Linked DNA regions of Neurospora crassa OR74A. The protein of the gene in region 4 interacts with the protein of the main gene of each other region in a biochemical or structural test. Links are inferred from orthologs where the notes say so. Each region holds a gene or a part of one and is shown on either strand. Other genes may lie near its edges.

What was found.
Region 1: the proteins of ubi (region 4) and NCU06105 form a complex in vitro, tested with the Saccharomyces cerevisiae proteins (2 studies listed by BioGRID). The link is inferred for Neurospora crassa OR74A from reciprocal best matches to the Saccharomyces cerevisiae genes UBI4 and GGA2.
Region 2: the proteins of ubi (region 4) and NCU05777 form a complex in vitro, tested with the Saccharomyces cerevisiae proteins (3 studies listed by BioGRID). The link is inferred for Neurospora crassa OR74A from reciprocal best matches to the Saccharomyces cerevisiae genes UBI4 and UBP14.
Region 3: the proteins of ubi (region 4) and NCU08001 form a complex in vitro, tested with the Saccharomyces cerevisiae proteins (2 studies listed by BioGRID). The link is inferred for Neurospora crassa OR74A from reciprocal best matches to the Saccharomyces cerevisiae genes UBI4 and BRO1.
Region 5: the proteins of ubi (region 4) and NCU03028 form a complex in vitro, tested with the Saccharomyces cerevisiae proteins (14 studies listed by BioGRID, with this or other methods). The link is inferred for Neurospora crassa OR74A from reciprocal best matches to the Saccharomyces cerevisiae genes UBI4 and DSK2.
Region 6: the proteins of ubi (region 4) and NCU08706 form a complex in vitro, tested with the Saccharomyces cerevisiae proteins (2 studies listed by BioGRID). The link is inferred for Neurospora crassa OR74A from reciprocal best matches to the Saccharomyces cerevisiae genes UBI4 and MGS1.
Region 7: the proteins of ubi (region 4) and NCU04370 form a complex in vitro, tested with the Saccharomyces cerevisiae proteins (4 studies listed by BioGRID, with this or other methods). The link is inferred for Neurospora crassa OR74A from reciprocal best matches to the Saccharomyces cerevisiae genes UBI4 and UBA1.

The regions. Positions count from the first base shown.
Region 1 is NC_026507.1:1,783,576-1,787,522, reverse strand, and holds the start of NCU06105 (ADP-ribosylation factor-binding protein GGA1), read left to right. Parts: upstream 1-1,147; 5' UTR 1,148-1,727; coding exon 1,728-2,273; intron 2,274-2,335; coding exon 2,336-3,023; intron 3,024-3,085; coding exon 3,086-3,588; intron 3,589-3,705; coding exon 3,706-3,912; 3' UTR 3,913-3,947. Other genes in the region: NCU06104 (RLI and DUF367 domain-containing protein), read right to left, coding at 1-632. UniProt on the Saccharomyces cerevisiae protein: May play a role in the regulation of membrane traffic through the trans-Golgi network.
Region 2 is NC_026507.1:3,794,955-3,799,042, forward strand, and holds the start of NCU05777 (ubiquitin carboxyl-terminal hydrolase 14), read right to left. Parts: upstream 2,801-4,088; 5' UTR 2,615-2,800; coding exon 2,587-2,614; intron 2,468-2,586; coding exon 2,400-2,467; intron 2,313-2,399; coding exon 184-2,312; intron 128-183; coding exon 1-127. Other genes in the region: NCU05778 (iron sulfur cluster assembly protein 1), read left to right, coding at 3,883-4,024. UniProt on the Saccharomyces cerevisiae protein: Required for the adaptation to the presence of glucose in the growth medium; mediates the degradation of enzymes involved in gluconeogenesis when cells are shifted to glucose-containing medium.
Region 3 is NC_026504.1:3,874,816-3,879,066, reverse strand, and holds the start of NCU08001 (vacuolar protein-sorting protein bro-1), read right to left. Parts: upstream 2,801-4,251; 5' UTR 2,091-2,800; coding exon 1,813-2,090; intron 1,752-1,812; coding exon 1,322-1,751; intron 1,249-1,321; coding exon 103-1,248; intron 41-102; coding exon 1-40. UniProt on the Saccharomyces cerevisiae protein: Class E VPS protein involved in concentration and sorting of cargo proteins of the multivesicular body (MVB) for incorporation into intralumenal vesicles. Fusion between endosomes and the vacuole will then target the cargo proteins to the vacuolar lumen.
Region 4 is NC_026506.1:3,143,698-3,147,843, forward strand, and holds ubi (ubiquitin), read left to right. Parts: upstream 1-1,346; 5' UTR 1,347-1,621; intron 1,622-1,689; 5' UTR 1,690-2,346; coding exon 2,347-2,368; intron 2,369-2,438; coding exon 2,439-3,334; 3' UTR 3,335-3,886; downstream 3,887-4,146. UniProt on the Saccharomyces cerevisiae protein: Ubiquitin exists either covalently attached to another protein, or free (unanchored).
Region 5 is NC_026501.1:8,392,116-8,396,209, forward strand, and holds NCU03028 (deubiquitination-protection protein dph1), read right to left. Parts: upstream 2,651-4,094; 5' UTR 2,382-2,650; coding exon 1,947-2,381; intron 1,882-1,946; coding exon 1,021-1,881; 3' UTR 568-1,020; downstream 1-567. Other genes in the region: NCU03029 (hypothetical protein), read left to right, coding at 1-567. UniProt on the Saccharomyces cerevisiae protein: Involved, with RAD23 in spindle pole body duplication. Involved in the ubiquitin-proteasome proteolytic pathway.
Region 6 is NC_026502.1:3,748,261-3,752,294, forward strand, and holds NCU08706 (AAA family ATPase), read right to left. Parts: upstream 2,587-4,034; 5' UTR 2,414-2,586; coding exon 545-2,413; 3' UTR 501-544; downstream 1-500. Other genes in the region: NCU08707 (iron sulfur assembly protein), read right to left, coding at 3,343-3,380, 3,466-4,034. UniProt on the Saccharomyces cerevisiae protein: Involved in the maintenance of proper DNA topology and chromosome integrity via annealing of single-stranded DNA breaks. Modulates DNA polymerase delta during replication or replication-associated repair.
Region 7 is NC_026504.1:3,604,379-3,608,406, reverse strand, and holds the start of NCU04370 (ubiquitin-activating enzyme E1 1), read right to left. Parts: upstream 2,801-4,028; 5' UTR 2,431-2,800; coding exon 2,425-2,430; intron 2,316-2,424; coding exon 1,936-2,315; intron 1,871-1,935; coding exon 1-1,870. Other genes in the region: peptidyl-prolyl cis-trans isomerase fkr-3, read right to left, coding at 3,669-3,696, 3,803-3,844, 3,996-4,016.

The DNA.
Region 1 (3,947 bases), on a different chromosome or scaffold from region 4:
GCCGAGTAGATCTTGAACAGCTTCGAGTTGATATCCAGGAATGCCCTGCCGTAAGAAAACGGAGCCAAAATCTCTTCCGCCCACTCCAAATGACCACAGATGGCAAAGGCCGCCGCCAGCGCCTCCACGCAGTTCAGCCGAAACGGCTTACCATAGTTGACCGTGTTGGCCGCCACGAGGTACGGCAACAAGCGCTCGCACTTGCCGCCCACCTTTTTCCACTCCACCTCCTTGGTGCGGGCCCACGAGCACTCCACCACCGCCGCGCCATACTGCTCCATCAGCTCCTTGTCGGCGGGCGACACGACCCGCTTGCCGTTGGGCGTGATGATGACGCCCGAGTGTCGCTGGCCCAGGTGCAGCTCGCGCATGAGACCGAGTTTCATCAGCTTCTTGCCTGAGCACCGCTTCGGGTCGCAGTGGCCTAGGTCCCAGCAGGCGGCCTTGAAGGGAGGGCGGTAGGGGCGTGAGGACGTGGACGGGTCGTGAGGGTTGGCTGTGGTGTCTTCGCCGCCGCTGCCGGCATTGTCTCGGGGGCCTTTGCTGCTGCGGGGGTTGTTGCGGGGCGCGTTCCGACCATGGCCGCCTTTGCCGCCGCGCGAGGAGAAGCCGTCCTTTTTGTGGCGGACCATAGTGGTGATGGTTTGAATTTCGTCGGGAGGATGGATGTTGTCGAGATGGAGTGCCGATGGTTTTGGCTCTGGGGTTGAAGCTTGTAATTGACGGACTTTTTTTTATGTCGCAATGGATGGATGATTTTGGCACGACCTAGCACTGCCTTGCTTTACCAGGGCAGAACTTGGATGGAAATATGCGTGCCGTCTTGGACCACAATGCGAGCTGCTTGCGCTACAAGGTTGAAGTGGCAGATGGCGAAAAAAGTTATGGATGCGATTTGAAGACCTTGACGACATCGCATTTGGGGTTCAGTTGGTGCAGGTGGGGTGGACAGGTGGGTCCGCTGAGGATGTCCATGATTGACGTCTTCCCCGGATTCATGCAACTCACCGATTGTTGCTGCGGAAGATGCTCGATTCGCAAGCGTCTGCCGCGCTTACACCATGCTGGAGGCGCTTGTCGAGGTGCTGTGGATTGAAATTGCAGTGTATTATTCATCCACAAAGATAGTATTCTTGTAACGCAGTCTCGCAACGTACCGATGTGCGGCTCCATTTTTCCTTGCGCCCCAACAACCTCAACGGCAGGCAACAGCGCAGGCCCAAGCCCAACCCGTCCGTCCAGAGCACTGAGAGGGGTCCACGACCTGACCTAGCCGTGTAAGCTCCCGTCCCCTAGCAGCAGTAGGCCTCTCCTCCTTCCATCAGCCAGCGATCCAGGTGGACACATTCCCGTTACCTCTAGGTACAGAAGTTCGGATCGAATCATAGTCCAGTCTCTGGGTGTATAACGAAGTATCAAACTGTAGTAGTACCATACCATACCTCTACTCACCATACTTGGTAATAATCCCAACGGCTTACCGGGAAGAGGGGGAGCTTCACTAGGTACCTACCTTACCTCTAGCACACAACTCCTCTAGACTACACTAGAGCTTGACCGACCAAAGGCTTGGTTGGGTCCTGGTTGCCGCCATCCATTACCTACCTATCCAGGCGACTCCCGCCAAGCTGCGCAATCTGGCCCCAATACCTCCTCGGTCTCTTCAGTCTCGTCAGTCTCCTCATCCACCACTCAACACGTCCCGACTCCCCGAGAACGCCGGCAACATGGAGGCGGCGTCTGCCCGCTATGCCACGCGCGACCGGTGGGCCGAGATGGGCCGCCCGGCCCCGTCCCAGCTTCAGCGCTTCATCACGGCCGCCTGCAGTCCCGACAACTACGAACCCAACTTGGCCCTGAACCTCGAGATCGCCGACTTGATCAACTCCAAGAAGGGTTCCGCCCCTCGAGAGGCCGCCGTGGCCATCGTCAACTACATAAACAACCGCAACCCCAACGTTTCGCTGCTGGCCCTCAACCTGCTCGACATCTGCGTCAAGAACTGCGGCTACCCCTTCCACCTCCAGATCAGCACAAAGGAGTTTCTCAATGAGCTGGTACGCCGCTTTCCCGAGCGGCCCCCGATTCGCCCCACCCGTGTCCAGCTCAAGATCCTCGAAGCCATTGAGGAGTGGCGCTGTACGATTTGCGAAACGAGCAGATATAAAGAGGACTTGGGCTTCATCAGGGACATGCACCGCTTGCTGAGCTACAAGGGGTACACCTTCCCGGAAGTCAGAAGGGAGGATGCTGCTGTGCTTAACCCGAGTGATGTAAGTGTTCCGTCCCGATTCCATGGGTCATTGTTGAAGCGTGTCTAACCTATCTGTCACAGAACCTAAAATCTGTCGAGGAAATGGAAGAGGAGGAACGCGAGGCGCAGTCCGCCAAGCTGCAGGAGCTTATCCGTCGAGGTACTCCCGAGGACCTCCAGGAGGCTAATCGACTCATGAAGGTCATGGCTGGCTATGACACGAGATCCAAGGTGGATTACCGCGCCAAGGCGGCCGAGGACGTGGGCAAAATCCAACAAAAAGCGAGACTTCTCGAGGAGCGGTTAGAAGCCTTTCAACCCGGCGACAAGATCGTGGATGGCGATGTGTTTTCCGAGCTCGCAGCCGCCCTGTCTAGCGCCCAACCAAAGATCCAGAAGATGTGCGAGGAAGAATCAGACGACCATGAAGCAGTCGCAAAACTTCTCGAAATCAACGACAGCATACACCGAACTGTGGAGAGATATAGGTTGCTGAAGAAGGGCGATATAGAGGGTGCCAAGGCATTGGCAAGTGGCGCGCCAGTTGCAAGCACAAGCAACGGCAGTGGAAGTGGTGCTGGCAAGAGTGCGGCGCAAGAGCTGTCGCTCATTGATTTTGATGCTGAGCCAAGCGGGGGGGACTCGACCAGCCAGTCCGCACCCCAGGGAGGAAACAGCCTCGACAACGACTTGCTTGGCCTGTCGCTGGGTGAAACCAGCTCTTATGGTCAAGGAGGTGGCATTGCCCTCGGGTTCGGTGCCAATACGAGTATGTCACTCGCTGCTTTCCGTGCAAGAGTCAAAGAGAATGTTGCTAACAGATCACCACAGACATTCCTGGACCGGCACTGCTCTCATCCACCACGCAGAACAGCACCGCACGGGGCCCCTCCCCTCAACCTGGCCCATCCTCTTTCAACAATTTCAACTCATTCGCATCACCAGTTGCTTCTCAATCAAGCACCCCCAAGCCTCCCGCGTATACAGCATCCGCTTTTTCCGCGCCAGCTGCGTCGTCAACAGCGTCCAACGACCCATTTGCTGCTCTAGCCTCTCTCTCCTCTTCATCTACCCCGGCGCCAGCGCCAGCACCAGCTGCTACCGGTAATGACGATGACGAGTGGTCTTTCTCCTCGGCACTGCCTCCTGAGGCGACACCCGCCCAGCCTAAGGAGCACAGAGCCGTTGTTTCTAACACTGCGCTCAAGGTCGACATGGTGGCTGTCAGATCTCTGTCCAATGGCCCATCTCCAGCCATTTCTATGCAATTTGCTTTTAGCAACAACACAGCGCAACCCATCACCGAGGTGCATTTCCAGTTGGCTGTCACCAAGGTAAGCTCACTAATCTGACCCTTGGCACTTTGACCAAAAATGTTTTGGGCTACGTTATGTGCCTTCGTCAGTTGTAGAAAGCCCTCAAGCGAGATGCTAATTGTGATGCTTGAACAGGGATACGAATTGCAACTTCAGCCTCAAACAGGACGGACTCTTACCCCCAAGCAGAGCCGGGGCATTACCCAGTCAGTCAACGTATGGTATACGGCGGACAAGACCAGGAAGGTAGAGAGCGTGAAACTCAGGTGGAGGGTATCATACAAGGTTGGAGCGGAAGCAAAGGCCGAGATGGGTGAGATTCCCGAGTTCAGTGTGGCATAAGCAGGAACTTTGGTAAGAACGAGGGCCACAAGAAT
Region 2 (4,088 bases), on a different chromosome or scaffold from region 4:
GAAGTAGACATAAGCAGTCTTCTTCATCTCCTCAACATCCACCACCTTGACCACCTTCTCATCGTTGAAAAGGACCCAGGAGGTCTCGTCCTCGCTAAGCTTCTTACGAATGAAAGCAACATAGTGTCTGGTTGTCATGGTCAGCGTGTGATTCGGTGACTGAATACGTGGATGGAAACTTACCCAGCGTGAATACTCGTTCCCTTGTGGCACACAATCGACTGCAACTGGAACTTGGCTGGCAACTCACTACTGCCCGCCTCCTTCTTTGGCCCCTCATTGCCAGCCGGTGCCTCCTCTTCAACAGCGTCCGCACCATCATCATCAGGATGGCTGAATAGCCACTCGATGGCTCTTTCCACATCACCACCGGTCTCATTCAGTGCTTTTACAGCCCTCGGTCCAGACAATCCCATCGACTCAAGCATGGCCAACTTCTCCGGGTCAGCCGCGCCAGCGCCTCCTGAAGCCGCACCACCGCTGCTGGCACTGAGGTCCAAAGGCACATCAATATCGGGGTCATCCATGTGAGCAAACAGCCACTCCATGGCAGCGTTGGCATCCGAGTTGCCTGTGGCATGCAGCGCCTTCTCACCACGGACTCGTGGAAATCCCATGGCCTCGAGCATGGCAAGCGCCTCCGCGTTAGGCACAAATGCAGGAGCGCTGCTCTTGGCCGACTCATCCTCGGGCAGGGCTTCTTCGTCAGGCTGCTGACCCTTGGAAAGGTATTCGTCAAGGTTCAAGGGCTCGTCATCAACAATGACGGGAACATCAATCTTGACGGGGACCCAGTTGACAACAGCCATCTTTCGGGCATTGACAACGAGGACATCGGGGAAGGTCTTGAAGGCTTGACGCTTGGTAAACCCATCCTTGCTTCCGCAGCCCGCACAGGTCAGCTCAACGACCTCGGAGGCAGTCAGGCTGTCAAGACACTGCTTGAGCGTGACAGGCTTGTACTTCGGTTCTTGACCCTCCTCCTCGGGTGGAAGCTTCTCCATGGGCACGTCAATGAAGACGCTGTCCTGCTCATTGCTACTGTAGCGGACCTTCTTGCAGTTGAGGCATTGCAGACGCTGCTCCATGACGAAGCGCATGGGCTGGGTGGGATCACCAAGCTCTACTGGATGCTTGGATCGAGTGATGAGCTTGATCAGATGCTGCAAGAGCTCAAAGGCGTCTTGCTGCCGCATGGTCGAGAACTCCTCGTGGCCACGACCCATGAGGTGCTTGAACATGGAAGGCTGGAGACCCTTCTGGTAAGGGACGTTGGGAGTGTGCTCAGAAGCAAAGACATCGGCGTCTGACTTGGAGTACCGGCCGGAAAGAAGACCATCACCAAGCTTGCGAAGCTGTGTTTCGAGGTCCTCGGCAGGATCTGATACGCTGGGGAGAGGACCAAGCTTGTCGCTATAGTACCGTTGTTGGAAAGAGGGCAAGTCGTAGAGACACTGTAGGATACTGGCAAGGTAGCAGCTGTTTCCGAGGTTCTTGAGGCCAGTCAGGCCAGGGCCAAAAACGGGTGTCAACTCTTTGCCGTCCTCAGTGGTCATGGAAAACTCCCATTTCAGGTTCTGCTCGATCTGCATTTCCGTCAAGCTCTTTTCCGTCTTTTCGCGCTCGGCAAGGATAATGCCCCAGTTGGCCAGGTGGGCGCCCAGGTTGTCATCGATGCGCTCTTCGTCGCAGTTGTAGCAGTATACGTCGGCCGTTCCCTCGGGGGTGATGGAACCAAGCTTGACAGCGACGCCGTGTTTGGTCTCGGTCGCGTGAGCCAAACCGTGAGAGTTTCCGCTGACACCACCGAATTGGGCGCGGCCACAACCAAGGTTTCCGCATTCCAAACACAGCCAAAGGTTTTCGTTCAAGTCGCACTTGGAGCAATGGCCCAGATCCTGAGACTCAATCTTGCGAGGCTCTCCTTGCTGCATTGTCAAGATGTGCTCACAGGTAGTGAGCTCTTGTTCCCAGGCCTTGACCTCCTCCTTGCGTGAGAACGTGTTGGCCTTCATGACGGCCTCGATGACGGGGGCGATGGTGGCATCTTCCTTGTTCAAGTTGTCGATTCCGCAGTCCAAGCACTTGACTGTAAGTGTTGTATCGTAGCGATCGCTTTCGGTCTCGGCCGCGATGGCGAGCTTGGACATCTTGAGAGGCGGCTCATTGCGCTCGATGATCTTGCGGGTTCGGCGAATGTTGAGGACGAGCGGGTGGTTTCGCGAGGTGGCATGGAGCTTTGCGTGATTCCGGTCGCCAGCGCAGCCTCCGTTAAAGCACTTTAAGCAGACATCCAGACCAGCTGGGTCGTCCTATTTACAGCGAGGCGGTTAGTTGCTAGGCTGGACATGGTAGATGGGGCTAGAAGAAGAGAGGAAAGGCCAGGATAGAGTACGGACAATGGAATCGAAGCATTGGGTACAATCCTCGCGGTAGACATTGTCGGTAGGCGACGGCTTCGCGAGGTCTGTTAGAATCGGTGTGTCAGAAATACGTTGTCCAGTCCTGAGTTAGAGGCGCACCACACATGATGGAAGCTGAGCTGAGCTCCAAAGAGCATGCAAACATGGAATAAGCAAGACTTACTTGCGGACCCGATGTGGGGGCACGACATGTTGGGCGGATTCGCGATGATGTATGAATGAAATCAACCAAGCTATGTTGTCTGTATTCTTGGTGTGTAGTTGTGTACAACTAGAAAGTCATCGAATTGTTGGATGAAGTCTACCGCCAAGTGAAGTTGTATTGCAGAGGAAGAGAAGATGGAAGAAGCGTGAAGGAAAATGGAAGCTTGCCGTAGCTGCAGGCAGTGAGCTGAGCTGAGGTATGATGTTGTGGGGTAACTTTAGCTGACGCGGCAGGCACTGGACAGCAACCACTCCCCAATCCCCATGTTCCAGGCAACCGCGCTTCATGGCATTCGCCCTGCCGCCTTCCATTTGTTCGAACCCCGCTGCCGTTTCATGGATTGTGACAGCGGACAGGGATGATGTGCTGCAGTCTGGGGACAATGGAGCAGGGATTGGCGCTTGCTTAGGTATCGGTGGTGGACGATCTGTTATGCATTTCTTAACATTGTGGCACGTTACACAGTGACAATGCAGATACGGTTTGTTAAGAAAGTGTCATTTTCCAGTTTGCAATCAAGAGGCAGAGTTTTGGACGGGAGGTACGTTTGACGGCGACAGAAATGCCCATTCGACGAGGTAAGAAAAGAGAACAAGGACCTGACTAAGTACCATTATAGTGTAGAAGCCCGTGCTTAGCATTTTCATCTGTCGTCGGCTGGAAAAAAAAAGTCCAAGGGAAGCGAGTGATCGTCCAGAATTCCAAGTCAACGACGACCGAATCGCGAGACGTAGGTACATTCGGTGTTCCGTAATCTGATCATCTTATCTCCGCGGCAAGTGGAGCTCAGAACTGTCTTGGCTCTCTTTTGTCCAACCGACCAAGCCGACGTCGGGGATGACGCCCCCCATGTCCGTAGCAGCGCGTCTTGTCACTGGCCTAACAGAAGCCTGGCTGTTTTGGTTGGTGATTGTGCTCCGCTTTTGTTAGGAGAGCTCTGACCAACCCCTCTTTTTCGTATCCCAGTCCCGAGTGCAGCAAGTCGCCCCCTTGGGTCATCATCGACTTTTTGGCGACCAAGTGCCGCAAGCCCGCAAATCCGCAGCCAAATCCGCAAATTCCAGCAACTTTTAATCCCCAAGTCCCGTCCGCCGCCAACCTCTTTATCTCGGCCTCTTTGACTTTTCGCCATCCACTCATCACCAGAACTCGTCTCTTGCATCACCGATACCTATCCTACAGAAACAACAAAACAACCCAAGACAAAACGAAACGAAACAAAACAAAAACATCACAATCAACACATCCGCAACCATGTTTTCCAGATCCGTTCGCGCTGTTTCCGGCCGCGTTCTCGCCAACGCCGTCCGCCCTACCGTCATGCCGGCTGCGCGCCAGATTGCGCCCGCCGTTGCCGTCGTCGCCAAGAGGTCCTACCACGAGAAGGTCCTTGACCGTGAGTATTCCCATCGCGGCCACGCATTCGCGCCCTATTCCACCTTGGATATGGCATATCGGCA
Region 3 (4,251 bases), on a different chromosome or scaffold from region 4:
TGTTGAGAATAAGAATTTGGGAGATATCATCACTGTGCGCCTGTTGTTTTGTCAGCTCTTGATGAACCACACTCGACTCTTCATCGTGAGTGATCAACATACCTTTTGCTTCAGATCCTGTAGTACCTGCAGACGCTCCTTCTTCACCAAGCTGAGCTTCTTCAGAATATCTTCCACCTTTTGGATCTGCTCAACCACACTCGGGCCACCATCATCAAAATCGGCCTCCAAAAGATTAGGCTCCACGGTGGCGGGGCTATTCGGGTTTGACTTTCGCGACTTCCTGACTGCTCTCTGGAACAACTCATCGATCTCTCCATGCTGCGCGGCCTGGCGCATCTCATCCAACTCAGTTTCGTTGGCTCTAAGCTTTGTCGCGAGCTGCCCATCACTCTTCGCTGCCACTTCCAAGGCCTCCCTATACCTCCTAATGTCCGTTCTGAGCGTAGTGGTCAACCGCGAACTCGGCTGCTGAGTCCATTCCGCATCGTACTTGGAACGCATCTTCTCACACACGCTTTCCTCCATATCCAACTGCCTGCTACTCTTATCCAGTATTGTTGAAATGGCCTGCTTTTCGGTATGAAGATATTCGAAAATCCTATGAGGGCTTTCGTGATCCGCGACATCCACACACCATGTCCTAAAGTCTTCGTCAGGAAGGATATCCTGATCGAACCCTCCCTTCAAAACCTGAAGAGCGCCCGGAAGCCTGAGATAGTCCAGGCTAGCCGCCATCTCGCTGTTTGCGGTTTCTACTCTTTCCGTCTCAGCTCTCACCAGCTTGGCCTTCTCTTCATCGTACAAGCTAGCCGATTCGGTGACCGCGAGAGGCACAATTTTCGCGAATAGGTCGGGGCCGGTGATCCGTTGAATATCCTGGCCGGCATATAGTTCGCTAACGGGTATCGGTTTCGCAGCCGGCAGCTTGGGGACTGGTGCAACGCTGGCCTCAGCAGGTACGGGTTGATGGTAGATCATATCATTTTCCTTGTTGAGTTCCTCCAACTTTTCCTTGACAGTTGCGAGGTGTCTTTTGGTCGCATCTGCCAGGATGTGGCCACAGTCCGAAGTCAAATTCGAGTTCGGGGGCACTGAGGTGGGAAAACTGTGTGCCATCTTGTTTGCTTCTTTGGCAAGACCCTGTGCAATTTCAAGACGCGCAATGGCCACGCCATAAGAGTTTGCATCCTCATCAGCGAGGGCTTGATAGTACTGGGCGAGTGAGTTCATGAAGTTAAGCTTGATCTAATATTTTGTGTCAGTTTTGCCCCAGATTTCCCATCCTTCCTGATACGGAACCCACGCCTACACAACTTACCTGAACCACAGACAGCCAAACTTTCTCGAAAATGGCCTTGGTGACGTTTTCCTGAACGCCCTCAACAGCCTGGGCGTAGAGAGCGGCTGCTTGGCTAGACAACTTGGCGAGCAGACCATTCTTTTTTTGATCAGCAATCTGCTTCTCAAGGAAGACCTCTTGCGCCTGGGCCAACATGATGCTGATTAGCGTCTTGACCGTTTCCCTGCTCAGATCGGACGAGGGCGCGTGGAGGAAGTTCTCGTTGATGTAGGTGAACATGCCGGCCGAGGCCTGGAACGAGTGGTATGCCGTCTTGAGTCCCGCCTCCTCGGTTCGCAATTGGTGTGCCGCATGGCAGGATAGAACGGCGGAAATGTTGAAGATGATGGAGGCCTTCTCAAAAGCCAGCGAATATTGCGCTGTGGGCTTGTGAGTAAAAGCGTCGAACCTACAGAAGCAGCAGATGGTTAGCAACCGATGTGGGTCCCGAACACTGGAAGGGACAATACCATGTAAAGGAAATCTTGATGTTCTTCTCGTCCACCGGAAATCTCAAATCCAAAAGTTCGAGCTGGCCGTAGTAGCGATAGAGCAGGTCCCTTCCCGACGTGCTGTCCTTCCCGGCGCCTCGCATATCCTGGCGTAACCGGTTGAGGGTCGCACATTCTTCGGCATAGCGCTCCGGATCATCGCCGTACGTATTTCGAATGTAGTTTTTGAGGGGAGCAACCCAGTCAATCTCGCTTGTGGCCTTGAGGGGCACCGAGATCATGGGCGCCTGCACCATGTTGGGCGAGTATGGGCGGGCGGTTGGAATTCAGCGTCTCGGTTCGGTAAACGACTCGATGGAGTTCGGAATGCGGGGACAAGACAAGACGAAAGTCCCGGTTCTGGCGGCTTGTAATCCAAGTTCTTGTGGGTTTTCCGTGTTGTCTGCCGCGTGACGACTGCAGCTTTCCTAAGCCTACTTTGCCGATGGTATGTGGCAGACTGGGGAAAAGGGTGAAAGATTGGCGGTTGACGAGTTGTGAGAGGGAGGAGAGTTGCGTGTTCGTGTAAGCTTTGGGTAACAAGCCAGCTTGTGTCGTCAGAGCTCGCGTGCGGCGGAGGGGTACCTGGTACTTTGCCAACGGCGGTTGCCCTGCTGTGAACTCTGCTGTGGTGATTGAGCGTTGATGGCCGCCTGGCCGTGTTGGAGTGGACGGTAAAGTCGAGAACCACGTTGTGGACTTTTTACTTCTTTGGGGGTTGGGGAGGGGGAGATCCGGGGAACTGGTGAGGTGCAGTAGGTAGGCACAAGGCGAACTACTGGTACCTAGGTACCTTATGGTTGCTTAGGTCTCCAAATGTGGCCGGGTGGCTTGGTCACTACCTAGGTAGAGGTACCTTGGCGACGCTCGACGATTGACAAGACATAAAGCTGAGGTGATGTTGCTTGGTAATAGTATTCAAACCAATACTAGGTTGTTATTTATGGCTGGCCAACTTTTGCAAAAGTTGTCTCGGTCTCGCTCATCGTATAAGCGAAAGAGCGGCACCTCCAGGCCCCGTCATATGTTATATGTGCACCGCTTGACAGGTCATCGATAGGCGGCGGGCAGCAATGGGCGTGATGGGGCAGGCGGCAGCTACCGGGGAAGGAGCCACCCAACTACGGAGACAGTCCCGTATAGCTTCCATCATCCCCTGTCACCGGCCGGGCTCTCTCCAGCTGTGATTCAGACCTACAAGATGCCTCTGATATCGAAGATGGAGTTCAATGTGAAAGCCACTAGCACTTAGCTTGAAATCGAAGACACCCAGTGAGGTTTGCTGGACCAGAATATCCAAGCGGGAAACTAATCGAGCGAAGAAGAGGCAAACCAAGAGATGGATTCCATCCGCTCTCTCCAAGTTAGCCGCCGGCTGCAGATCGCTTCAGGCATCTTCCTCACATGTTCAGACGGGGGAAGCAGCTCCATTATAAGACCAGGAAGGTACAATAAGCTTAGCACTACCTACCTAGTCCATCTTTCCACACCTTCCCTCCATCCATATCGCCCGTCCAGATGGGCGTTGCTTCATGGCTCGATATTCAATGCCTTGCCCTGGTCCCCGTTTTCGGAAACAATCCTCCAATGATTCGGGTACCCGTACAGTCCGGGTGTGGTACAAAGCTACAAGCCGGCGGCTATGAAGGCCCAGTGCAGCGATTTGTTGGTGTGGCGCCCAACGGCTGACCCCTCTTTTCACCTCTTCATTAGACGCGCTTCTATCCGTATCTTTCATCCATTATGAAGAAAGAGGAAATACTGAGCCCAACCTGACAGAATGATGGGATGAGGAAACTGAAGAGAGGTATAAGTGATGGAATTAACCGAGCCTCGTCTCCTTTTGTGCGTGGTAATAACGCTCAAGGCAGCCGCATTCAACGGATGTGGAAACAGAGAGTGATGAAGAACAGAAGAACCCCGCTACAAAACGCGGGGGTGTTTCTCTTTTCACTATCACATCACATCTTGCAGCTGGCGATCGACAGGTTCAGGTTGCGAGAGCGGCCTTTCCCTGGATCCATACACACGGATATCTCATCTCTACTGTCAATATCACGGCTACGACATGTGCACTTTCCTCACCTTCGGAACGGCGTCTGTTCATGGGGCTCTACAATGTGCGGAAACTGAAGCCAGGTGCTCGACCCCTATATCCCCGTCAGAGGATTGTTTCACGATATGATTGGTCAACTGCCCTTTTCACATCTACCTCTCGCACTCTCGAGAAGCGCTCAATGGATGGTGCTTCCGGGGATGAGGCTGGCATGAAGCATCCCATCTACATGCCCAACTGTCAAACAGAAAATATGATTTCGAACACTGTGACCCTTTTCTGCCCCTCTTGTAACTCTCTGTTCAGCAGCGATAAAGACAAAGGTTGTTCAAACGGAACAAAACAAGGTACGTTTGGCGCAT
Region 4 (4,146 bases):
CTGGTTCTTCACAGGTTGTCATGGAACCGACTATGGGAAGGGCCACAGAGCAAACGAGTTCTCGAGTCTTGTAGAGTTGCCTTGGGTTGTGTGTACTTGTTTCATTTCAAAGACGCAAGTCATTACCACGCAAAGAAAGCCGTTGGCTCGTTGGTTCTGGATGAGTGGAAAAATGCATTCCAACTCTTACGATAGAGCCTAGGCCAGACGAGTACATAAGTACTCAAGATCAATGAGTGAGAAGGATTGCGAACGGCAACCAGGCACCTGCATTGAACTTGGTTCACTACACGCATTGACAATAAAAAGTATCATGTACACCAATCTGATGACGTTCAGGGTTGTCATTTGATCATGGGATGTCACAACCCGAGCCGAATGGGTGTATTGAACGGACCGTAAGGACGATTCCCGCATTTGCGAAGACGGGAGTTGTAGGCGTGACTGCGCGGGAGTCCCCGGGATCCCGTGCAGGAGGTGATGCCGGCCCCGGTCTCACCCGAGGTGGTTGGCAGGCCTAGTAGCGGGCAGGGCGGAACTCGTCACTTGGCTCCAGGAGTTTGTGATGTTGTGCTGCACAGCTTACCTCCCTCTACTGTACATATTACACTCGTGCGTAAAGGACCCAGCATTCTGATCGATGATGGTAACTCGCGATACTATGGATCATGCGTGAACGGAGGCTAGAGACCGTCAATAGCGGAGCGACCCTCCTAAAGTGCGGGGCGGTGGAGCCAAGAAAGAGGCCACGATAATGCTGGGCGATAACGGGAGGAACGGAGTCACGACATCATCGGTCGGGGGCTGGTGGGAACCCTTATGGCCAGGCACTGCAGTCAGGAGGTCTCCCATCTGTCACCGGTCTTGAATCCTTACCGGCGTCAACAGCCACGGTCGGTCGGAAAGCCGATAGAAAAGCGAAAGAGAATACCTGGTAATAGCTCCCCGTTCCCGTCCGGTTCAGTTGTCGGTGTCCCGCCATGAACACGGAGAACTAACGAAGCTCATCGTCGCACCAGACGGAGCGCTTACCTCAGCAGCCTTTGCAAAGGTCGGTGGAAGAACCAACCGTGAGTCCGTGACACCAGCTGAGCATTCTGTGGTTTACAGTGCCAGCTGACTCGCCCCTTTACTGTCTGGAGCTGAAACGATGCCTGGCCGGGATGCACCTCCCGTCCGGTTGTTCTTTCGTTCGACGACCAACACCTCGACCCCTTTGGTGACACTCTTTGTGGTGTTGGTTAAAGACAAAGTCACAGGTCTCTTTGATTTTATATACTCATCTTCATGTCTTCTGGTCATTTCCTCCATTGCTGGAAAATTGCGATCCAACCGTTCACTCTTCCCTGTTTGCCTCTCGGTGCCCTCGATCGGACCACGTCATTGACCGCTCACTTCGTTGGGGGGTTCGCTTATCAAATGCGGGGAACCAGCAAGGTGCACGTCGGTATTCCATGATGCCAGCTGGACTGCTGCTGTGTGAAGCATCGAGCAAGAGGCCATCAACAACCTGATAGAGGGAACAATTATAATAACATGGAGAGAAGCTTGTCAAGATGCTGGCAAAGTAACGAGAAGTCGAGATGGCACTCTCGGATTTGTAAACAACTGAAACTCGAAGGTCCGTCGTCCAGCCACATGCAGATCATTCTTTGGCTTATTCATCCAGAGAGAACCTAACTGAAGCAGGGCAAACAGCCCGGCTGAGGTGACTGACGCATTGACGGGCAAACGGCTGGGTGAGTGCCCGCCACTGCAGAAGGCGTTGACAGTGCGATCAATCAGCCGCGGTCACTGTTGGGGGGGATGTCCAACCACTCCTGCCAACGGGCAACAGCCAACAGTCAAGGGGGAAACTGTCGTCTGACTGGCTTCTTCTCGCGCCTTCCCTCCACTTCTCTGTCACTCCCAACCGCCAAGTGGCTTGTGCGTGGCCTGTCAGTGAAGGTGAGTGACACACCACTCACACCGTGGCAGGCGTTGCAAACGGACCAGTGACGATCGACTTGGGACCTGGCACCTTTCCGCTTCCACTCCAGTCCCGTCACCTCTTCCCCTTCACTCAGCCCCCCCGCTTCGCTTCCCTTTCCAGGCAGTGGAAGCCTGGCCCCTCCAAGTTCGCCATCCTGATTCCTGCCACTTCCGCCGCAGCCAGCACCTGAACCTACTTATTTAATCCTCCCCGCCCATCTGCATCCCCGATTCCATTTCTTCCGCTTTCACCATCTCTCTCCATCGCCATCATCGCAGGAGTGTTCATCCACGCACATATCATTCCCGCCACTCGATTCTAGTCATTTCGCTTCATCCATCAACAGTCCATTCGTCCACTGCACAACCCCCATCATGCAGATTTTCGTCAAGACTTGTAAGTTATCGCACGCTCACCGCATCATCACTTTACCATCGATCGACCGATGCTAACTATCTCTTCGCAGTGACCGGCAAGACCATCACCCTCGAGGTCGAGTCGTCGGATACCATTGACAATGTCAAGCAAAAGATTCAGGACAAGGAGGGCATTCCCCCCGACCAGCAGCGCTTGATTTTTGCCGGCAAGCAGTTGGAGGATGGCCGCACCCTTTCCGACTACAACATCCAGAAGGAGTCTACCCTCCACCTTGTCCTCCGCCTGCGCGGTGGTATGCAAATCTTCGTCAAGACTCTTACCGGCAAGACCATCACCCTTGAGGTGGAATCGTCCGACACTATCGACAACGTCAAGCAAAAGATCCAAGACAAGGAGGGCATTCCTCCCGATCAGCAGCGTCTCATTTTCGCCGGCAAGCAGCTTGAAGACGGCCGCACTTTGAGCGACTACAACATTCAGAAGGAGTCTACCCTTCATCTCGTTCTTCGTCTACGCGGTGGTATGCAGATTTTCGTTAAGACGCTTACCGGCAAGACGATTACTCTCGAGGTTGAGTCTTCCGACACCATCGACAACGTAAAGCAAAAGATCCAGGACAAGGAGGGTATCCCACCTGATCAGCAGCGTCTCATTTTCGCTGGAAAGCAGCTCGAGGATGGTCGCACCCTCTCCGACTACAACATTCAGAAGGAGAGCACCCTGCACTTGGTGCTCCGTCTTCGTGGTGGTATGCAGATTTTCGTCAAGACCTTGACGGGCAAGACGATTACGCTGGAAGTCGAGTCTTCGGATACGATTGATAACGTGAAGCAAAAGATCCAGGACAAGGAGGGTATCCCGCCTGACCAGCAGCGTCTGATCTTTGCTGGTAAGCAGTTGGAGGATGGCCGGACCCTCTCTGATTACAACATTCAGAAGGAGAGCACTCTTCACTTGGTGCTGCGCCTCCGTGGCGGCCAGTAAGCGGATTGTCGTCTTTGTTTCTGATTCTTGATGACGAGCAAGGGTTCATTTGGGCGTTCAGCGTTTATTGGGTTACTTATTGCATCCATGGGTTGGGAAATGATGACAACCATGAAACAGGGCATATCTAGCCGAATCTAATGGCACACGCTTCATACATACAGCGATGCCATAATAAAGACTATATTTACGGTCTCAAACATGATGTCTCTTGGTGATTTGCTTGTGTCTCAATTCGTGAGCTTTTGTTATTCCCGTCAACCTGTCATCTGGTCAATTGGGGATGGAGTCGGACGTGTAAGTCAAGATGGTGGTGCAGTGGGTTGGTACACACCGTGCGAGGTGACCGTTGCGTGGCCGAAAGTGGCGCCCTTTTTTGGTGGACAAGATGCATCATACGTGAAAGATACGTACCGACCGCCGAGTTCAGTTCGCGCTAGTCCGGCCGTGGAGCCCTCCCTCCCCCCCTGTGAAGGACGATCCAACGTCCAACGTCCAACGTCAAGTTCGTAGTTGTGGAAGGTTGAATGTGAAGAGGACATCCGGAAGGACCTCTCATCCTCTCTAATCACCAGGGCAAGAACCATCACTGCATGGAGTTTGGGCACACATGAACCTGCAGAGATAGGCATCGGCGACTTGATTGACGTAAGGCCCGCGTCCAAGGTGTCTTAATCGACTCTTCATCTTCTTGATCCTTCTCTGTCCTTCTCTTGCTCTTCCACTCTTACAGTCAACGCAATACTCTCAATATTACACTTTCATCAGATTTTTCATCAAAGCATTGTTGTTTCTCGACCATCACAACAAGG
Region 5 (4,094 bases), on a different chromosome or scaffold from region 4:
ATATCCAACTACATGCTAATCCGCCTAATGACTACCTTCTGCGTCGGCAAAACCGTGGCCGAATGGCTCAAGGGCCATATGGATTCCGGCTTCGACGTCCTACGGTACGTGGACGTTCGCCGCTTAGTTCAATTTGGCGTCATCAAGGGGTGTTTGTACAGGGTGCACAAGTATGTTATCTCGAAACAGTATCTGGCTGCGCTAGCTACGGGGTTGGCTAGACCTGTTTCGCCATCCGACACCGGAACTGGCACAGGCAAAGGGAAAAGTGGGAGGGGGTATGGCGAAGGGGAAATGGGGAGGGAACATAAAGTGGCGGTGCCGGGCGGACATTATGATACCTATCGTGAACCCGGGAGTCATGGGGGTCCGGGGGGGAAGGGGTCGAACAGCAAGAAGATGGCGATGATGATGAAGGCTAGTGGGGATCCGTTGCAAAAGTATATGGATGGACGACATTGTTTTGATCAGATCATGACGGAGAGGAACATGACGGACGCGGAGATTATGGATAAATTGAGGAACTTTCCGGTGCCGGCTGGGGATTTGACGGTGCTTTATCGGTAGAGGGAATGATAGCATGCAAATAAGAGTTGATTAGTGGTGTTGATAGTTAGCCCGGCTACTGTATGCGAACTCGTCTTCTTAGAGGACAAAAGAACCTTGTTGATTCAAGCAAGAGGAGACATGTTTGATAAAGATCGCTAAACTGTAAACATGTAAACCTCCTTACGTGAGGACACCCGCTGAAGGGGTGTTGTTTTGAGCATCGTCTCTGTGCTGGACTGTCTATCGTCCTCCTGAGCAACCATTATCGCTAGATATTTGATTAAAATATATCTAGCACGGCCCAACAATGACCTCGCCAGGAGATAACACTGCACTCCCTGGACATCCTTCAATCCACTATCCCCTCGACATTCTGTCGTTCATTGTGAATACCGCCGTATCCTTGAGGAACAGCAGATAACTGTCAATCTCCGGTCCACATCTCTGCACCGTCTAGTAAAGAAATTTAAGTTAAGAACCGCCCAGAAGATGTTCGATAGCACCCTGTACGCTACCACCGCTGCGGCGTAGTGCAGCAACGTTCCGATCAAAATCGAAGAAACCCATATCGTTGAGTTGACGCAGCTGCTCAGCATACCTCTCCTCTGGCGGCCTGTTGTCGGGAGGAGCAACGGGATTTCCGCCAAAACCACCCAAACCACCGCCACCAAATGCCTGCATCATCTGCTGCAAGGCCTCAGGCGAGATAGGGGGCAAACCAAAAGGGTTCGCGGCACCAGCCTGACCAGGCTGACCAGCACCTCCAAGCGCTCCGAACAAAGATGCCAACGGATCTGCTTGCTGCCCAGACCCCGAAGTGGCGCCAGTAGCCGGAGCAGATGCGGCATCCCCGCTCCTGGCACTCTCGGTCGAAGCTCCGGTAGACGCAGGCGAAGACCCCGCGGGGTTTCCAAAGAGCGCGGCAAAGGGATTACCTGCTGGGGGAGCGCCCGCCGGAGGAACACCAAATGGAAGAAACATGGCGAACGGGTTCTGCGCATCGGCATTGGCGTTGTTATTACCGGCACCGGTCGTCGCGTTCGGAGTGTTGTCCGTTACCCCGGGCGCTGGAAAGGCGTTGGCGCCTCCGCCCATCATCCTACGCATGCGTGCCGCCATGCGAAGTGCCTCCGGGTTCGTCATCATGTTGCGCATCATCGGAGAGTTGAGAAGCTCGCGAGCGCGATCAGCGGGCATGTTGGCCAACATCGGGTTGGAGGCAATCATCTGGTCGATGACGGCGGGGTTGTTGAACGCCTCGGCCATGACCTGGGCCATCGCTGGGTTCGAGAGCATGTTCGCGATTTCATCCTCGCTAGGAGGCGCGCCCATCTATAAAACATCATTAGTAAACAGCTATGTTAAGGGTCCAGGGGGCCGAGAAAGGGGTGGCGTACTCCTCCGTCCGGCCCAAACAGGTCTCGGCTTGGTAGCGGCACCTGACCGGCAAAGCGAGCGCCTGTGAGGCCAGCTAAAAGGTTATTCGAGGGAGTGCCGGCAGCCATGTTCTGAGGTATCGCGGGCTGAGCGGGTGTCGAGGTTGAGCCACTGCTGGCTGTCGCGGCGCTGGCTGGACGCTTAACCATGTGCACTGTGTTCATGTGCTTGATCTTGTAGAAACTAAGAACTTCATCGTCCTTCATGACCTTTCCGGAGTAGATGAGGCGTTGCTGCTCCGGCGAGATGTTCTCGTATTCCTCCCCCGCTAACAGGGTCTTGAGCTGAAGGACGGTCGCAGACTCGGCAATGGTGACTGTGTGGTTCTTGTCGCCTGAGCATTTTACTTTGAAGGTAATCTGGCCATCGCCGCCAGTATTTGAAGCCTCAGCCATGATTTCTATCGCTTTACGATTCGGCAATGAAACGGTTAATGGCGGTCGTGGATGATGACGTTGGTCTCAGGGGAGCTCCGATCGCCCCACGTTCGAGTTCAGCACTTTGTGATGGGATTATGTGAAAGCCTGCTGCAAAGTCGTTCGTATGGAATTACGATAGCTTCGTGTGCTGGTGAAAGTTGAGGAATGGTGATGCTACGGAAAAGGGTTGTGTTGGGAACCAAAGTAATTGAGTTGTTGTAATGTTGGAAGGTCACAGGCGGAGGCCGATAAGCGCTGCCGCCAACAGTGGCAGGTGGGTGGCATGGCATTAAGAGCCCCTCCACGGCAGGCAGCAGACCCCACTACAAGCCGTCATTAAGGTATACTAGGTAGTGTAGTGTTCACCGAGGTTCTTGCCTTTTTAGGCTTCACTTCTGTCGTTGAACACGACTCCATCCCTAACCCTACCTACCAAGTGCATGTTACAGTACCTTAGTACCCTACTTCAGCTTTCCCACAGGGCCTCGACGTAACGAACGCCGGTCACTAGGCGTATACATAGGTATACATACTACATGGAATCGATGGATGATACGAACGGTGCCTGATTGCAACTTCTGCGTGCCATATAGATGGTGAGCCACTATCTTGTCACCTACTAGTTCCAGTCAGCTGCGACACCTTGATAGTACTCTCCTGCTCTCACACCCATCCGCTTCTTTGAGGTTCTATCGGGCTCTCGGCATCCACATGACCTGACACCTGACCGGTTCCCCCCATCTTATCAGCTTGTCCAGTAGCTTTTGTTATCGCATGTGTGTGATGACAGGGTACTGTCGATTAGCTGCTGCTTCGAACCAAATCCATGTACCTTCTAAACTAATGGACGAGGGCGAATCGTCTCACTCTTTCCCTTGACAAACCTAAACCTCTTCCCTTCTCTGGTTTTGAACAAACTTTCTTCAGATGGCAGACACTTCATCGCTTCTGCCTACACTTTTATTCTGGTGGATGAAAGAAACTCAACGCATCAAACCTCCTACTTTGATGCGCAATCAGCATTCTTGAAGGTTCAGTGACCCTCAGCCGATAGCCGGTTTGGCGAGAATAATCTTTCGTTGATGTCTTCCGTCAAACCTGCACAACAAAATCGTATTCGCAAACTACTCACGTTTTCGGTTGATCAGTAGCGTTTGTTGTTATGGCGGCATTATATGGGCCGTCGCGTCAACCTCAGCGAACTAGGAGGTAGAACATATGGACTATACCAGACAGGTATGTACAGCTCAGAGTGCATGGTCCGTGGACCATGCCAGGATACTCCAGGTAAGTGTATCAAGGATATCGAGCATCTGCTCCTTCACCGCCTTGGTGTAGCCTTGGTGTACATCAAGACACATCTCTAACCGCACTTTAGAGCATACCGCCTAGGCAGTTCTTCTTGCTGCGGGCCAAGCAAGGATACGACGTGCTTAAGCGACCATTGTCTTCCACAAACCTTTGAGATCATGGAACTATTACACTATGATAGGCTGTCCGTCAATGCGAGATGTCGACGCACTAGCAGCGAGTGCCCTCACGTTGATGAGGATTCTTCTTCGTTCGTCCGTCTGAAGTGGAGTTGGCGTGGGCAAGGGCATGGACTGAGGAGGAGATCAGCGCTTTCCCAAGAGATGGCCCGTCAAGGTAGAGCTGCTACGCGTGCGACGCCGGTCATGTGGGTTGTTG
Region 6 (4,034 bases), on a different chromosome or scaffold from region 4:
TAAAGAGCATTTAAACATCCAGAGTTCTCATTCGCTTACTCAGAAAACCCTTCGCTTGAAGGGACGGCTAGTGAGGGCTTAACGGTCACGACAGCCTCTATTTTTTATGCCTCTCTGTCCGCCTGCTTCATGATGCTCAAAACTGAAAAATACGAAAAGAGAGTATCCCCACGGCATTCATCCGCTAGACTCAAAGCCCGAATGCTTTTTTGCATCTTCATTGAGAAGAGGCGTCTTTCGTTGTACCAACCTATCAAACAACACAAAACAACCAAACCAGGGCTGAATTGTGTCTTAAGTGGAAGACGTCAAATCCGGCACTATCAACACACAATCGCTTGTTCAACCAAGTTCGGCTAGTTCTGGAGTATCTAGTCATCAACTCCATATCTTTCTAACGTCCAACAATGAATGCTATACCAACATGTACATTTAACACCAAAACGCCAGCCTATCCATAACCTTTTTTTGGACGCTTCAAATGCACATTATTCATGCACTACAAGCCAAACCAGACATCGTACTATTCCAACAAAACCACACCCTACGTCGTCGTCCCATTCACCCCTCCCTCCCCATTTCCATTAACCTCCCCATCATCCTCCCCCTCCCCCATTTCCACATCCGGATCCACCTCGGTCCCCAAATCCCTCTCCTCCAAAAACTTTCTCCCCACCAACTCCCCCGGCAAATAACTCTGCTTCACCCTCCCATTCCGATAATTGGGCGGGTACTTATACTCGGCTCCATATCCCATCTCCTTCATCAACCTCGTCGGCGCATTCCGTAAATGCAGCGGGACAGGCAACGCCGCCACGCCCGGTTCCCTAAGGGCCGAAAACGCATTATTCAGTCCTCTGTATGCCCTCGTCGATTTGGGCGCCAAACAGAGCGCTACGGTGCAATGCGCTAAAGGGATACGCGCTTCAGGCATGCCGATTTGTTGGGTGGCGGTGTAGGTGGCGGTTGCTAAGGGCAAGAGGGAGTTGTCGGCGAGACCGACGTCTTCGGAGGCGATGACGACGAGGCGACGAGCGATGAAGAGGGGGTCTTCGCCTGATTGGAGCATGCGCGCTAGGTAGTACAGACTGGCGTCGGGGTCGGAGCCGCGGATGGATTTGTGGAAGGCGGAGATGGTGTCGTAGTGTTGGTCGGAGGCGCGGTCGTAGACGAGGGTTTTGGTTAGGGAGGCTTTGATGGATTCTTTGGTGAGGGGTTCGTCGGGGGAGGAAGTGGTGGTGGTGGTGGTGGTAGTAAGGGATAAAGCGAGTTCGAGGAGGTTGAGGGCCGTGCGAGCGTCGCCGTCGGCAAAGGCGCAGAGGTAGGAAAGTAGTTCGTCGTCTATTAGTGGGCTGAGGGGCAGGTGTTGGTCGGTTATTTCCTGTTTGAGGGCTCGTAGCAGGATGCGCTGGAGGTCGTCGCGAGATAGAGGTTGGAGAGTAAAAGTGCGGCATCGAGAGAGCAAGGCGGGTACGACTTTGAAGGAGGGGTTTTCCGTGGTGGCGCCGATGAGCGTGATGGTGCCTGCTTCGACGGGTTTGAGGAATATGTCTTGTTGCGCCTTGGTGAAGCGGTGGATCTCGTCGCAGAAGATGATGGTGCGGCGACCTGTGAGGTGCAGCTCGTTGGCCGCTTCCCCGAAATACTTTTTGCACTCGGCCACGCCTGAGCTGGTCGCGTTTAGCTCGATGAAGCGGCTACCTGTTCGTTGGGCGATGCAGCGCGCTATCGTCGTCTTTCCGGTTCCCGAACCGCCCCAGAGAATCATGGACGGGACTCGATCGGTTTCGATCAGCGCGCGCAAGACGCCGTTGGGCCCGACTAGATCCTGGCCGAAGACGTCGTCGAGAGAGCCGGGGCGCATGCGCTCGGCTAAGGGAGCGGATCTGTTGTTCGGTTTTGTGCGCTTTACTAGCGGTTGAATCGGTGGGCTGGGTTGTGCTTCTCCTCCTCCTGTTCCTACTCCCCCTTCTCCAGTATTCACGTTTTGTTGTGGTGTCTCTGCGCTCCCATCTCCTCCATTCCTATTCCTCGCCGCGTCTATCGAAGGCGAATCCAACCCCGGTCCCTCATCAAACCTCCTCTTGGTCCCCGTCCTCGGTGTTTGCGCAGCAGTCGAAGCAGCAGCACTTCCATGGACTGGTAGGGGTGTCGAAGCAATGGGTATCTTTGACACGGCCAGTCGTTTGGCAGGAGTCTGGAAGAAGTCGGCGGCACTTCGTTTCTTTTGGGTTGAACTTGGTGGTAGGTTTCCGTTCTGGGTACTCTGTTGTCCACTACTTTGTGGTTCAGCTTGGGCGGTGGCGCTGTCGGCGGCTGTCTCGAGGAATGACTGGCAGCCGGAATCAATGTGGCTGTTGATTTTGTCGAGGCCCTTGACGGCCTGGTTACATATCGGACAAGTGACCGCCATGGCGTCGCATGTGTCAGTGGGTAGGATGAAAGCAAGACTGAAGCAAAATCTGGTCTTCTCAATGTGTCTGAACGGTGGAATTTCAAAAGATGACCCGAGGAATAGCAAAAATGGGTTGTCGAATGGCGAAATTGGGGGTGACGGGAGACGCGTTTGGAGGGCGTAAATTGATTTTCGAACGCGTTAACAGCTGTTGTCCCCCTGCCGCTGCAGTGTTGGTGGGTGGGGAACTGTGTTGCGGCGGGGATACATAAAGCATGTGGGGTAGCTCCCGCTGGACCGTTGGCAAATTGACAGGTGCCCGCATTTGAGCCGCACGAACAGAAGTCAGAAGTCATGATTAATCAGCCATCAAAAACCACAGCATGCGTCATTAGAGGGCATCGCAGGAAAAGGTACACAGTAGAATGCATGTAATCATGACAGCCAAAATATGGGATGAACCATTTATGCGTGCCAGATATCAAGTATGATGATAAGCCTCTCCATTGCTCTCCCTTGTATAAATGGTGGTGCAACAGGGAAAAGAGAGAAAAATTATACAGCAACACTACCGATAAGTAAAGAGGCCCTTGATAGAGCCGTCCATATCTGAGTTTACCAGAATGGAAAAAAAATAAGTAACAAGAACAATAAAGGGAATAATGCTCTCTACCCAAACGCCAGTACCCATGCTTTCGCCGAAAGAAAACCCCCCCAAGCGCGCGAGCGCTAACAAATGACGCAAAAAGACTCTGAAAGCTCCATACATAACTCTTCGGTCCTTCGTTCTCGATGCGCCAAGGGAGCCACTGAAGTGAAGACCGTCCCGTAGCTCTCTCTAAAGTCGTGTCGTGTCACGCATGACTGTCCGGCTGAAAGGCGCTTCGGCTTCCACGCCCGGCCCACCCCTAGCTTAACCGAGATTTAATATCATTCATGTCCTTTATTCATACCATGAATGACTCTCCACAACCGCATTGCTCCTCTGTTTTCCCTTTCATTAGCCACCATCCCATCCCAATTCCTTTCCGCAGCATCGAGGGAGAAAAGAGGGGGGGGTAAAAACTCACTAATATTAGGATTCCTGAAAACAAACCGCTGACTCAACTTATCCTCCACCCAGTCCATTTCACTGCCAATGATGCTGAAGAGCGCCTTGCTGTCAATCAAGACCTTGACGCCGTCTTGCTCCACCGTCTCGTCAAATGCCCCGGCCTTGTCCACGTACTCCAGGTGGTACGCCAGCCCGCTGCACCCCCGGTTGCGCACGCCGACTTTGATCAGCTTCGGCTCCGGCTGGTCCAGCATGGCGCGCAGGTGCTCGACAGCCGCGGACGTGAGGTTGATGGCGGCCTTGCGAGGGGCGCGCAGGCGGGAGGCGCGGGGGGCGGGCTTGGAGGGCGTTGGTTGCGTGGGGGCGGAGGAGGCTTGTGCTGCGGCGGCGGCGGCCTTGGATTGTTCTTGCTTGGGAGCAACGGGGGTGGGCTGAGAGGGGCTTGATGATGTAGATGGTGACGTTTGCGCAAAGTTGTTTAGTTGTTGCTGCTGCTGCTGCTGCTGCTTCGGTGGCGACGCAATCTTGTGAGGTCTTGTCTCGTGTACGCGCGGCATGGGCGGCTGGACGGGGAAAGCCATGGAG
Region 7 (4,028 bases), on a different chromosome or scaffold from region 4:
ATAGTTGAAGGCATGGAGGTTGGTAGCAGCCTCGAGGAAGCTAAAGTGGGTGGGGTTTTCAGGGTCGAACTTGAGCGGGTCAGGGGCGCGCTTGGGTCCGGACCAGAAGGGGGTACCGGTCGAGGACACGGAATCCTTGGGGAAGTTGTAAAGGAGCTGCTGAATAGCGTTGTTGTACTGCTTCTCGAAGAGCATGCGAGCCCATTGGACACAATCCTCAAAGGTGAGCGGGCGCTCGTGCTTTAGGAAGTCCGCCAACATCTCCAGCGTCGCCTTCTCGTTGCCACTCTGCTTCAGGGTAGTGTCGAGATAGTTTGGCTGGGTCAAGTAGAGGTTGACGGTCTCCGCAGGCTTGACAAATGAGCTCTCGAACAGCTCACGAGCCCAAGCAATGGTGTGCTCGATCTTGTTGGGGAAACTCCTGAGAGTGCACATGGGGAACGACTGCTCAGGAGGATCCTGGGAGGAAGAGTAGGACTCAGTGAGCCTAGGAAGCACCACTTGCGTGTTGCCCTTGGTGCCGAGGGTACCACTCTCAAGGAGAGGCTTGTGGAAGAAAACGCACCGTCTGTCGACATACGTTCTCGCCTCAACGTTGTCCAGCGCGTTAGTGACGCCATCCAAACCCTGCCAGAACTCCTCATTGAAGATCTCCTCGGTCTCGGGACTAACGCGATCCTTGAGAGAAACAATGTGGCCTTCGAGGTCAGGGTTCATAGCTTGCGCGGCCTTGGCCGCGCAGTCACTCTTCATCTGACCAACGTCCTTGGGACGGAACAAGAACTGTCTGTTCAAGTTGGACTTCTCGATCGAGTCCATATCGGTAACGGTAATCTTACCCTCAGGGCCTGTTCCGAGACCAATCATGGCCCAGTTCTTGAGCATCTCACAGCCAATGGCGCCAGCGCCAACAAGGAACTGCTTGACGTTCGAGATCTTCTCCTGAAACTCCTTACCAAAGACCGCAATCTGGCCGTCATACCTGCTACCAGTGGGCGCACAGAGTTCCTCGGTGCGCTTGGAGTTGGTGGGAAGAGCCTCGAGCGCATCGAAGTACATGAACTGCTTAATGGGGTGGAACTTGCCCGAAACAGCCTTGAGGACTTCCTGGGCAGTAAGGCCACCGAAGAAAGCGGCCATGGGGTTAAGGTCACCAGTAGCCTGGTAGCTGAGCTCCTTGAGAAGCTTGTCGTCGAACTCGACGTCAACACCCTGCTGCTTGGCAAACTCCTTAGCCGAGGCGATAACCACAAGCGCATCCTCGTCGTTCATCGGCCTTGGTAGACGTCCCTGAGACTTGGCGAAAGCGTGGAGAGCCTGGAATCCAATATGAAGCTGCTGAGGGCGATCGAACTTGGCGAAGTCGGAGATGACAAACTCGGGATCCTTGAGCGCGTTGGTAATGCTCTTGAACTCGATGGTCTTGGGCATTTTGACCTGCTGGTAGAGACCGCCCTTCTTGTACTGGCCAAGCCCCGACACGTCGCCGATAGAGAAGGTGTAGGGGCCCTTGACGGTGACCTTGCGGGGCTCGCAGCCGTTGAGTCCCTCCATACCCTCAACCTCCGAGAAGGTCACATAGTCGCCATCCTCAAGTCCATGCCTGGTCTCGTCAAGCGCAGAAACGAGACCCTCCTCGTCGATGCCAGCCACGATACCGTTAACGGGGTTTTCGCCGTTCGTGTCCATGACAGTAAAGTTATCGCCGAAATCACAGAAGATGCCGCCAAAGAGACCGTGTGTGTTGACAGCAATAAAGTAGATGCCCTTGGAGTGGCAGTATTCGCCGACAATAGTCTGGAGATCGGTGTGCTGGTTCGTAAGGACGACGACTTGGTACTTGTCAAACTGCGACAGGTTATCGGCGAGACTGTACAGAGGCCACGGTTAGCTACCGAACCTGTCAAGCTCACTCCCGTCCGGTTCATAACCTACCTTGGCGACTGGTGGATGTGAACGGGGGTATAAGCATTGAGCTCAGCAACGCGGGGAGCGGTGACCTGGTCGCGAGGCTTGCCGACATCCTCAGGGCGGAGGAAGAACTGGGCGGAGAGGTCGGCCCAGGCGGCGGGCTCGGGGTCGTGGAGGGTGAGGCTCTTGACGCCAGCAAGGGCCACGTTCTTGGCGATCTCGACGCCGAGGCCCTTGAGGCCGACGATGAGGACGTTGGAAGCGCTCATGCGCTTCATGGCCTCGTGGCCCAAGACATAGAGCTGGCGACTGTAGAGGGACTCATCAATCTCGGCCGTGGTGCCGGCTACTGATTCGTCGACTTGCATCCTGGTGACAAGGTCGACCTCGTTTTTCTGAGTGTCCTGGGAGATGGGCATCACGAAAGTGTCAGACTGACTGGCGCTAGCTACCAGGAACAAGCATCTGCCATCCCAAGTAGGATTCATGTAGACAAACGGGGTTTCAACTCACTGTCATGGTTCTCTTTAGAGAGATGGGTAGGTCCCCTTCGGATACTTTGCGCTTCCCCAGCTTGGCGACTGTTGATTACGGGCGGGCCGGTAGATTATAGATGGTGGAAAGTTCGTGACGCAAACAGAGCAAAAACAAGAACGAGAACTGAACCTAAAGTTGTTGATTCGCAGTGGTCGGGTATTGTGATACTTCAAGTTGGCGATGTTGGTCCAAAGAAAACGCCGATGTTGTAGTTGAATGACTCGGGAAAACAGACGACGGATCAAGCGCAAGTGCTACTATGTCGTACTATGTCAAGGTGCAAGTGCAAGTGCAAGTGCAAGTGGAAGTGGAAGCTGTCTGTAATCTGGAAGGTCGGGCGGCGGGGATGTCGAGGGAGGTTCGGTCAGCCCCGCCACCAGCTGTCAAGCATCAAGGAGAACTGCGGGGAATGGTGATGTGATGCACTGTCCGTCGTTGGCCAAGCACCTACCGCTGCAGCGTGCAGGTCGCTGTACTGCTGTTAGTGCAGTGTGCTGTAGCCTTCACCGTATGCGGCCTCGCACCTATTACTAGGTTGTACGTCTGGAAGTGGCTATGCTAGCTATGTACCTCTAGGTACCTCTACCTCGACCCAACCTCGTTTCACACTGGCTGTGCCCTGTCTCCTATCTGATCGGATAAACCTTGACTCAGAGTCTCATTGATGCTGAAGGGAAGCCAATATGTATTGTGGTTCACGCGCGCATGAACCTGGAAGGAACCGTGAGGACAGCAATAGAAGGATCGAATCATTACTAACACCCCTGGCAGTAGACGGTACGAGGCGGTCATGCACTAGAGGTACTTGCCCGATGTACCGATGGCGGTAAAACGTACTTGGTACAGTAAGCAAGGACCAGCCACTCAGCCCATCCGGCAGGCAACTTGTGCTCTCTTATCGTAGTGAGCCAATCACATTCAATGAGGCGCTTGTAGGTACTTCTCCATATTAACATAGCTGCGCGGGTACTTCAACCTTCCCTGTATCGCTTCAACCTCCCGTCATTCAATTAATTCCTCGTCTTTACCCATCAAGGTTCCTCGCAACGTAAACACCAACCATCTGTGTTTTCGTCATCGCCATCACCGACATAAAATCTATCTTCCCAAAAGAACTTCAAGTTCCAGTGGTTTCTTGCCCAGCGGTCCCTACTTTGGCTCGTTGGAGGCGTTGAACTAAGGACCTCGTCTCCTTTTCCCGAGATCAGTGAACCGCCCAGCTACTGGAGACCCTTGAGATATACGTCACTATCACATATTAGCTCGTATCCTTGCTGACGCTATCTTGCCCGCCGCTACCTTGACTGTAGAGACAAGCTGGAGCAAGATATGTGGCATACAGGAGACAACTCACAAGATCAAATCTGCGTTCGGAGGAATGTGGCCGTGAAAACCCCTGGTGTGCAATAAGTCGGGTCAGCACATGGGCATTAACTCCAAATCAGCACGGCCAGAAGTATCGTGTCTGCGGGTGGTGTTACACCATATAGACTGATTTTTTTGGATTTTCAGAAGAAAGAAAAAAAAAAGGCCTGCAGGTTACTCACCGCTCTCCGTATCCGTAATCACTAAAACATATT